2 linked regions of the Rattus norvegicus genome follow. The protein of the gene in region 2 purifies or fractionates together with the protein of the main gene of each other region. This does not show direct contact. Links are inferred from orthologs where the notes say so. Each region holds a gene or a part of one and is shown on either strand. Other genes may lie near its edges.

Evidence for each region. Proteins that work in one complex are often made in the same cells at the same time.
Region 1: the proteins of Dcaf1 (region 2) and Cops7b purify together in Homo sapiens (affinity purification with mass spectrometry; 3 studies listed by BioGRID, with this or other methods). This does not show direct contact. The link is inferred for Rattus norvegicus from reciprocal best matches to the Homo sapiens genes DCAF1 and COPS7B.

The regions. Positions count from the first base shown.
Region 1 is NC_086027.1:94,702,388-94,707,340, forward strand, and holds part of Cops7b (COP9 signalosome complex subunit 7b), read left to right. Parts: intron 1-2,666; coding exon 2,667-2,869; intron 2,870-4,459; coding exon 4,460-4,565; intron 4,566-4,953. UniProt on the Homo sapiens protein: Component of the COP9 signalosome complex (CSN), a complex involved in various cellular and developmental processes.
Region 2 is NC_086026.1:116,351,218-116,356,700, forward strand, and holds the start of Dcaf1 (DDB1- and CUL4-associated factor 1), read left to right. Parts: upstream 1-1,815; 5' UTR 1,816-1,912; intron 1,913-2,272; exon of another isoform or gene 2,273-2,485; intron 2,486-5,483. UniProt on the Homo sapiens protein: Acts both as a substrate recognition component of E3 ubiquitin-protein ligase complexes and as an atypical serine/threonine-protein kinase, playing key roles in various processes such as cell cycle, telomerase regulation and histone modification.

The DNA.
Region 1 (4,953 bases), on a different chromosome or scaffold from region 2:
CTGAACCTAGCTCAGGTGTCTCGTCGGCATCAAGGAAAGAACGTGTAACTTGTCTTCTCCAAAGTGCTTGAAATGTACTTGGCAGATAGAAGTAATTAAAATGTGTGGACAGTCACTCCCCATTCTGTTTTGGGAAAGAAAGCCCAGCAGCGATTGATTGATTCAGCAGTCTCTGTTCTGGCATGCTGTGGAACTTCATGCCAGGACAGCACTTTGCCATATTAGAGGGGCCTGCTATTTAAATGCTTAAAAAATAAAAAGGATGTATTTCATGTATATGGGTATACTGTTGCTGTAGCTGTCTTCAGACACACCAGAAGAGGGCATCGGGTGCCCTTTGCAAATGGTTGGTTGTGAGCCATCTCTCCAGCCCAAAACAAAGTTTCTGATTAAATGGTTTTTAAAGATGCATCTTTTTACCTGGGTTGTGGTGGCACACACCTTTCCTCCCAGCACTCAGGAGGCAGAAGCAGGTGGACCCCTGTAAGTTTGAGGCCAGGCTGGTCTACAGTGTTAAGTCCATATATCTTCATACATACAGCCAGGGTCTCTTTTTGACTGTTTTTGTTATGGTGATACAGACTCTATGTATTCACAGACTATTCTCAACTCACTGTGTAGCACAGGTTGACCTCACAGTCATGGCCGTCCTACCTCAGCCTCCCACATGAGGGTTGCAGGTGTATCACACCACACCTGTGAGAAGTAAGGCTTCTTTCAGCTGGTTAGCAACTTCCAGAATCCCCTAGTGCACAAGTAATTTTACTCAAGTAGGAGGAAAGACGCGCTGTGTTGGGTCGGGTGGACTTTTACTTATTTGTGATATGGGGGATTGAACTCCAGGCTTGTGCATGTTGGGAAAATACCCTTTATCTCTGAGCCACAACCTCTAGCCCAGGAAGGTAGCTTTCTAATCTTTGTGATTTTTCAGGGTTAATTGTATTTTTTTTTTTGCCTCATCTGCTCACTTTGTTTTTATTTAATTTCATATGCTAACATTAGGCCCTAATGTGTAAGATTCCCGCAACACACCTGCAGGTTCTGAGCCCAGCTGATTTAGAAGCCTTCAGGCAGTAGTTTACAGCTTTTAACAGAGAGGGGCCAGACTCCACTGATTTGTAGTTGGTTTGGCTTCACTTCTTCCTTACCTGTGTCTGTTTTTATGAGACTATACCTTTAAAAAGTTTGCATCTCTCTGTGATTAAGAGTTGTATGTTTGTTCCTTGATTTTTAGTTGCTAATGTACTGTTACCTGATCTAATCATAAATTTCTGGTTGTCACCAAGAATTTCAGGTGGGGGGGGGTTGGGGATTTAGCTCAGTGGTAGAGCGCTTGCCTAGGAAGCTCAAGGTCCTGGGTTCGGTCCCCAGCTCCGAAAAAAAGAACCAAAAAAAAAAAAAAAAGAATTTCAGGTGGGAAGTTCCTTTCTCCCTCTTTTCCTCCTTTCCTCCCTCTAGCTTGTTCTGGAGATTAAAGTTGGGGATTGGAACTCAGTGCCTCACGTGTATTTGTGTGGGGTGCCACCACTGTGCTGCACCCGTGGTCTGAATCAACCCTATTTTCTTGGGGAATGGGAAGACCAGGACCTTTTTCTCTTTCTTTTTTTTTTTTTTTCCGGAGCTGGGGACCGAACCCAGGGCCTTGTACTTGTTAGGCAAGCGCTCTACCACTGAGCTAAATCCCCAGTCCCCCTTTTTCTCTTTCTAATCATGGTCTTCTCAATCTTGGTAAAGAGTAGGAAGATTGTTTTGTTCTTTTGTTTTGTTATCATTTAATACTCACCCACCACCCTTGAAATTGCTATTTTCCTCTGCTCCCCTCTGCTCCCCTCTGTGCTCACTTTCTTTCCTGTGCTTCTGTTTACATAGTCAGTTTATTTCTAAACTAGAACTGACAGCTCGGGGTTTGTAGAATGTAGGTTTAATAATGCTCTGTTCTTGTTAGTCATTGGTTCAGGGCTGTTGTTGGAGATTTGATATTGGTCACAAAGGTTTGAGAAACAAGCACAAACTTCAGGATAACCTGTGATTGGTCGTTGTTGTTGGTGGTGGTGGTGGTGGTGGTGGTGGTGTGTGTGTGTGTGTGTGTGTGTGTGTGTGTGTGTGTGTGTGTGTGTGTGTTCGTTCTTTCTTTCATTCTGTTTTGTTTTGCCATGCCTCTTCTGGGTAAACTATTCAGTGTTAGTGTTTGAGGCTTGAACATTTCACAGTTCAGCATTTTATGTGAAGTCCAGAAGGTGGCAGTGTAGCACATACTGAGTATTTCTCTTTCCTGTGGAAGAATGTTTAACATCTATCTGTAAGAGTGTGGGTGTGGCAGCTGAGAGCTGGGTGAAGTCTAGGACATGAGACTAGAAAGTTACCTCCTTTGGTGCTGTGGGATCTTGTTGGGTGTCATAGGTTCCACAGTTTACCCGTCTCTCTTTTTTTTTTTTTTCGGAGCTGGGGACCGAACCCAGGGCCTTGCGCTTCCTAGGCAAGCGCTCTACCACTGAGCTAAATCCCCAACCCCTACCCGTCTCTTTTTATCTCAGATATTGGTGATTACCACTAGTCTGCATTGCTTAAGCACAGAGAGACAGTTCTTGCCTGTGTGGGTAATACTTGGATTTCTTTTTTCAATGCTTGCCAAGTGGTTTTAGAACTGTCATATGACCTATCCACAGTGTATCCCCTACTCTGTGCTGCTGAAGGACCTGGAGATGAGGAATCTCCGGGAACTAGAAGACCTTATCATTGAGGCTGTCTACACTGACATCATCCAGGGCAAGCTGGACCAGCGAAACCAGCTCCTGGAAGTGGATTTCTGCATTGGCCGTGACATCCAGAAGAAAGATATCAATAATATTGTCAAGACCTTGCATGAATGGTGAGACTGGGAGATGGAGGGAGGGCCTCTCTGCAGCACTGTGATCTTGAGAAGTGAGCTTGAGGTAGTCCAAGCTGGGGTCTTTGGACACTGAGACAGAGTGGGGCTGCATTGGTGGTTACAGCTGTGTGGCATTAGGAAACCTGGAAGGGTTCCTGGTGCCTGCCTTGTGAAGTTGACTTTAAATGCAGCTGGGCTGTAAAATGTTCATGTGGAGTTATAGGTCGAGTCTCTGCATTCTGGCTGTGTGGCACCAAATCGCAGCTTCTAAACATATCTCCTTATCCTCCCGTCCAATGAATAAATGAATTTAGTAAAAAGAACAGAGACTTTAGTATATTATTTTAGTGGGATTTGATGCTTGCAAAAGTGGTTATGTGTTCTGTAAGGATTTAATGAGCTATGTAAGTGATTTGGGGCTATGAAACCAGAGCTTAGGGAAGTGTGAGGAAGCTTTGAGGGAGAGCATTATTGAGAGTGGGGAGATTGTTCCCACATGGGCCTATGGCGTGCTGCATGGCATTCAGCAGACTGGGCAGCTTTGTGCTGAGAGTTAGGGACACTTGCCTTTGTTGTTGTTTTTTCTCGAAACAGGCCTTGTTCTCTAGCCCAGGCTTGCCTAGAACTAACTATAACTATGCATTCTAGGTTTGCCTCAAAGTCAAGATTTGTCCAACTGCCTTCCAAGTACCACTACACCCAGATTTTGTATACATAAAAAATATAATACATACATATATAAAATAGGCATTTTGCTTACATGTATAGAAGTGCACTGTGTGTTTATCTAGTGCCCACAGGGGTCAGAGGAGGGCATCAGAGTCCCTGGAACTGGAGTTATGGGTGATCGTGAGCTAGTGTGTGGGTGTCGGAAGCTGAACTTGGGTCCTGTATAAGAGCAACAAACATTCTAACCACTGAGCCATCTCTTCAGCCACCAGAAGAGAGTCTCAGAGCTCCTACTTATATGTTAGAAGGGGACTGGAAAATAAAAACACAGCAAAATATTGGACATATTGAATAGTAATGGACAGTGTGTAAATTTTCATTATATTGCTTTTCAAAAACTTATTTTTTGAGACAGGATCTCATTTTGTAGACCTGGCTGGTGTCACAGGCTAGCTGTGAACTCAAGAGATCTGTCTCTGCTTCCTGAGTACCGGGATTAAAGGCATGTGTCACTAAGCCCAGTGAGAAGTGCTTGTTAACTAGGAAATAACTTCAAATTCCGAGGAAAAGGCAATCTGTAAAATAGAACATTTACTTTTTCTTTTGTAGAAAGGGATCAAGTCAGTGTTACTTGTAGTTAGTCCCTCCTTCGGTCTTAGTCTGTAAAAGTGTTTCTTATGGACTGCAAGGACTGGAAATTAGAGCTGTATTCCAAGAAATTGCCCACAATCTGCAGCTGCTGTGCCCTTGGCCTGTGTTACATATTTAGATGACTTGGTTTGGAAGGAGGGAGGGGACTGACATGACCACCTGGCAGAGGAAGTCCCATAAAGTGCTGGAAGGATCTGGGAGGGAGATTCCTGAGCCTGTAGGAGCCTGCTTCCACCTCACTGTAGCTCAGGGCTGGGTTTTCTGTTGCAGGTGTGACGGCTGTGAGGCAGTTCTCCTGGGCATTGAGCAGCAAGTTCTGAGAGCCAACCAGTACAAAGAGAACCACCACCGGACTCAGCAGCAGGTGGAAGCCGAGGTAACTAGAAACGGAGCATTTGTTCCCCTCCTTAGGGTGGCCTAGGAATTAGCTTGCAGCGTCTTTGTGTTTGACATTGCTTTGCTGTAAATATACCAGGTAAACACGCCTTGGGGTTAGTACTGGAGTTTACCAGAGAATGAGCGGGCTGAGCGTGTAGAATGTAGTTAGTACTGGAGTTTACCAGAGAACAAGCGGGCTGAGAGTGTAGAATGCATGCATCTTCAGTGTGCGTACTGTGTTGCAGCTGCTGAGGGAAAGAAATGTTGGTGCTGTGTTTTAAAAATAGAAGGGAACTGGAGAGATGGCTCAGCGGCGAAGCGGACTTACTGCTTTTACAGAGGACTTAGGTTTGGCTCTCAGGCAGCTCACAACCACCTGAAACTCC
Region 2 (5,483 bases):
TCCCCTGGAACTGAATTTACAGATGGTTGTGAACTGCCATGTGGGTGCTGGGCATCAAACCCTGGTCCTCTGAAGGGCTCTTTCATGCCGAGCCCTCTCCAGTCCCCAAATCTGTATCTTTTTGTCTGTCTTTTTTGTTTTGAGACATTATCTATTACGTAGCACTGGCTATCCTGGAATTCAATGTGTAGACAAAGATGGCTTCTAACTCACAGATCCACCTGCCTTTGCCTCACCAGTCCCACCGTGCCTAGTAAAACTCTTCATTCAACATTACTACTTTAGATTTCTCCTCCATAAATTTGGCTAGCCTTATCTGCTCTGGTGTTGAGAATAATGAGTGTAATTAAAAACATTTGATTTAAGTCTGCTATAAAGCCTAATTAAATAGTGGCCATTATAGCACAAGAGCAAGAAGTGATGATGGGCTACATACCATCACCTTCTAGAATTTGTACCTGGGATGGCTGTTACTCCAAGCACACAATTGAGTGAGGAAGCAGAACAGAGTACTCAGGTGGGTGAGGTAGGATGGTGATGGACTTAAGCTGAGACCTAAGATACTGGCTTCTCTTTTTTAATTTGTTTTTTTTTTTTTTTTTGTTTGTTCTTTTTTTTTTTCTTTTTTTTCCGGAGCTGGGGACCGAACCCAGGGCCTTGCACTTCCTAGGTAAGCGCTCTACCACTGAGCTAAATCCCCAGCCCCTTTTAATTTGTTTTTTAAGGCAGGATTTCCCTCTGTAGCGCCAGTTGTTTTGGAACTCACTCTAAATGAGGCTGGCCTTGAACTCACAAAGATCTGTCTGCCTCTGCTTCCCAAGTGCTGGGATTAAAGGCTTGCACCACCGCCACTACCACTTCTTGGATACAGGCTTAGTAACAGCCGTAGAATCTGATCATGACAATAGGTTCACAGTGTTTTCTAATTTCCACGTGAATGTATTGGCTGTGAGAGCTCTATGGAAACACACAGAACTCAACTCAGAACGCCAAGAACAATAGTGAGTTGCATAAGTCTGGGCAGGTTTTGTCAAGATTCTGCTCAATTGTGGAGTTATCGTTATCTTCCATGCTCTCACACAGAATCGTTGGGTCAAAATCAGATCCTTCGGATGCTGCTTCCCTTTGGTTTGTGAAGTTAGGCAAGTCATTTACTGTGGGTTTCACTTTCCTCAACTTTCAAACTGATAAATTGAATTAGATGGCCTCTGATTAGTTATTTTCGCCAAAGGGCTTTTTTTAATTTTTCTGCCTCACATATAATACATGGTAACAGATGGTTTTTGATTCCTGCCGAATATGTTTTTAACAGAAAGACAAAGGAAAACCAATGAGTTTCGGTCTAACGAGTACAGTAATTTCTGATACATTTATGCGAAATGCATTCTTTGACCCTGGCATGTTTTAAGGCTGTTGTGGCAGAGCCTTACTGAGCCTTTCCGATGACACAGGGTAGACTTGGGTACGGACAAAGTTACCTGGCCAGCGGGGATTTTAGAAAGATTCATTCCTTCCTTTACTTTTCGCTTCCGCCTTTGGAGGCAGCCAATGAATACACAGCAATTCACGTTTATTAAAGAAAACTACGAATACCAGAAGTCAACGCGCTAAAGTGGTGCTTACTGGTAGGTCAAGCTTCACCATCCCTGCCCTTAAACGCGGAACTTCATTTCCCAGGAGCGCTTTGATATTCCTCCGCTCCTCCCCCTACTCGCTTGGGAGCCTCGCGCCAACGTTACGCGCGCGCGCACAGTACGTAGCATGCGAGTGACGTATAATATGTGGGCCGCTCAGGAGCCGTGGTCGCGCTGTGTGTGTGAGTGAGGGAGAGTGAGTGCGGGACCAGAGGCGGTGTGTGAGAACCGTGGCCGCTGGAGGGGTCGGGGGAGAAGCGGCGGAGCCGCTCGCGAAGGTGAGCGGGATAAGGAAGGAGCCGGCTCTCTGTCAGGGGCACGAGGAGACCGAGCGCGCGGCCCGCAGGGCGGGAGAGTGGGCGCCGCGCTGGGGGAGGGGCGGCACCTGCTTCGGCTGCGGGCGGCGAGGGGGTGGGCAGGACCACCGGGGAGGCTGGGCCCTGGGCCTGACAAGACTTTCCGCTTTCCGACCCCTGGCTAGGGGGCGGGGCCTCCAGGTTCTTCCACCAGTCTTGTAATGAAGCTTCTTTAGAGTAACTCTTCCGCCCGGGCGTGGGGGGGGGCAGGGTATGCTCTCTACCTGAAGGAGGTGCTCTTTTGAATTTCTCTCGTCACCTCCAAGTCTCTGTTCCTCACGAGACGAGGGGGCTTCCTCTTCCCTGCCGCACGACGGACCCCTTCCCGGGACTGTGTCTCCGCCTCCAACCTCAATCACCTGGGCGGGCTTTTCCCTCGTTCGGCTCCGAGCCACCTCCCACTTGCACCCTCCCGCCTCTTGGACCGGGCGAGGGGGCGGAGCTCTCCGGGACCCCTCCCACTTCTACAATGCAGTAGAGTGGAAGGGGAGAGAGGTATGTGGGTGCCCAGACGCCGAGTCTGACCCCAGATTGCCTGCCAGGCTTCTCCGGCACTTGTTCTGAGGGCTTTTAGTTAGTTTTTGTTGGGCTTTCAAGGACGTTTGCCATACTTTGTCTTCTGTTCCTAGAAGGTGTCGGTCCGTTTCCTCTTACTGCAGTGATAACTCTCTGGTTTTTCCATTTGTTGAGGAAATAGTCGTGGAGTGTGTGAAGTAGTAGTTTTTGAGTAACAAATGACTCGGTTTTGTTTATCTTACGTTGCTCTTTTTTTTTTTCCTTCCCAGAACTCATTGTAGAGTAGGCTGGCCTTGAACTAAGATATCCTCCTACCCAGAGTGCTGAGATTAAAGGTGTCTGCCCCCATGCCAAGTTTGCTCTGTTTTTTTTAACTCTTTGAGGCGAAGCCTTTTAGATACCCAGCACGTTTTAATTTGTTGTAGCACTGTCTTCCTATTGCAAGCCCTTTGTTAATGTATAGTAGGAAGTTCACTGATGGTGTCACCTGAAGGGCTTTGAAGGCTTTTTCCCCTTGAGGTTACTGGCATTTACCTTCAAGGCTTTTATAAACATTTCAGTTCAATGTCAAGATTTATGTTTTTGTTTTTTGAGACAGGGTTTCTCTGTGTAGCCGTGGTTGCCCAGAAACTCAGCTTAGACCAGGTTGGTCTCGAACTCAGAGATCTGCCTGCCTCTGCCTCCCTGAGTACTGGGATTAAAGGTGTAAACCAGCACTGCCCACCTTAAGATTTATGTTTGTGTATAACAGTTATTCATTAACCATTTTCGAATGAGGATATATTTTTAGGTGTTAAGGTAATTTGAGGAGTTTTTACACATCTTTTGAGCATCGTATTTACTGCTAACTGTTAGTTGTTAAATTTAATAATAAAATGTGATCAAAGGAACTCTGTTAAAGGGATTGGAGTTGGTTTATTACCACTATGTTTTTGTAAAGGAGCTAGTAGTCATTGGCAGTAATAAAGTTACATAGGATTGAATGCCATAGTGTTAACTTTTTTCTTGAAGCTCCCTCTTTACCCTTTTGGAGTTGAGGATCAACTTAGGGCCTCTCTCAGAGGAAATCTCCTTTCCCTTCCTTAAGGCCTTTTAAATAGTCTCTGCGTAGCCCGTCCCCTCTCCTCCCCCCTCCCTTTTTACTTTCCACTAGGAATTGAATTTAATACCTTAGGCCCTGAAGAATGCTTGGCAAGGGCCTACCCCTGAGCTATACCTCTCAGCTGCTTCCCTTTAAGGTTCAAAACTTTCCTGAAGGAGTGGTTTCCCCAACCTTTTCTCCCCTGCCCTGGATCTATTTTAATACAGCCTTTGTTTTAGATATGGGGACAGTTTTTGTTGAATTGACCATTCAATGTAGTGTATTAGAAAAGGACCTATTTCATGGTTTAACTTAGCAAAACGGTGGGGAAATGGTAGACTAGAGTGAAGTGTAATGAAAACCATTTATCATACACACAGTTACTTCATTACTTGTCATACAATACTTAACCTATTTTTTAGGTATTTTTTTCATTTCAGGGGGGATATGCATACACTTTTAAATTCAAAGATGGCAATCCTGCATAATGTTTTTCACTTTGATATTCATTTTTAACAATGGGTTTGAGCTTGGTGGTGGTAGTGCAAACCTTTAACCCAGCACTTGGGAAGCAGAGGCAAGTGGATCTGTGTGAGTTCAGTCTGGTCTACAGAACTAGTTCCAGGACAGCCAGGACCACACAGAGACACCCTGTCTTAAACCAACCAACCAACCAACCAACCAACCAACCAACCAACCAAAAAAACCCTGCAAACAAAAACAAATATCCAGTATATTTGAGAATCAGTTTGACAAAAGAGTTCAGTTCCAACATTTTGTTTTAATCTTTTTTTTGGTGATAATAGTTTTGGGGATGGAACCCAGGTGTTCTCGACTAAGTTCTTTTTACAATTGAGCTACATCTTGAGTCCCTCAAACTTTTTAAGTAGGAAAGTGAAAATAAGTGATAATCTTCAGTTTCAATAGTTAACTGCTTGCTGTGTTTTTCTATGTTAATTTTGTGGAATTTGAGCTGGTAGGCATATCACCTCTAAATACTTTGGCGTATATTCTTATGAGTAGGGAAATTCCATGCGTATAAATATATATTTTAAATATATTTAAGAATTTATATTTTGTAATAAGGAATTATCATTCGCTTCCCACAACTGTTTCTATTTAATAGAATTAGAAGTTGAGATTTTTTTCAAAAATTTGATATTTAGTGAAGTTAAATAAGAATTCACAGACATTTCAGGCGAGTTGGGATTTGAGTTCTTTTAAATCATCAATTCTTTTCTGGCATGTGTCATTTGTGTGGTCGTGAGAACCTCTATAATTTATTTTCTCATCTGTAAAAGTCACCTCACAGTGTGACTGTGAAAATTAAGCTTGAAAGTTAATTACTTAGCTCAATGCCCTGGGCTGGATATTTCCATCTTGGTGACCATTGATTCTGTCATCATTAGGTGTGTGTCATAACTTTTTGCATGATACTTATAAAAAAAACTTTAGTGGTTATTCTTCAAGCACTTGGGAGGCAGATACATGCAGATCTTTTATGAGTTCTGGGCTAGCTAGGGATACATAGTTAGATCCCTGCCCTCCAAAACAAAGGATGAATTAAATGATGCATACCCACTATATCATGCCAAACAAAATGATACCTTGTAAATTTATATTAATAAAGTCTTTTGATGATAGTAAGATGAGTTAACATGCAGGGTATTTATTTTTATTATATTTATTATGTACGTATGTGTTTATTTAGGTATTTATTGACACAAGATCTCTATATTGTACTGGCTGTCCTGAACTTCACTGTGTAGACCAGAGAGAGCCACCTGCCTCAGTGTCCTGAGTGCTGAAGTTAAATGTGTGTACTACCTTAGCACATTCATGCTTAAAAAACATTTTAACATTTGTTTCTATATGGATGGGTATGGCCATGCTTAT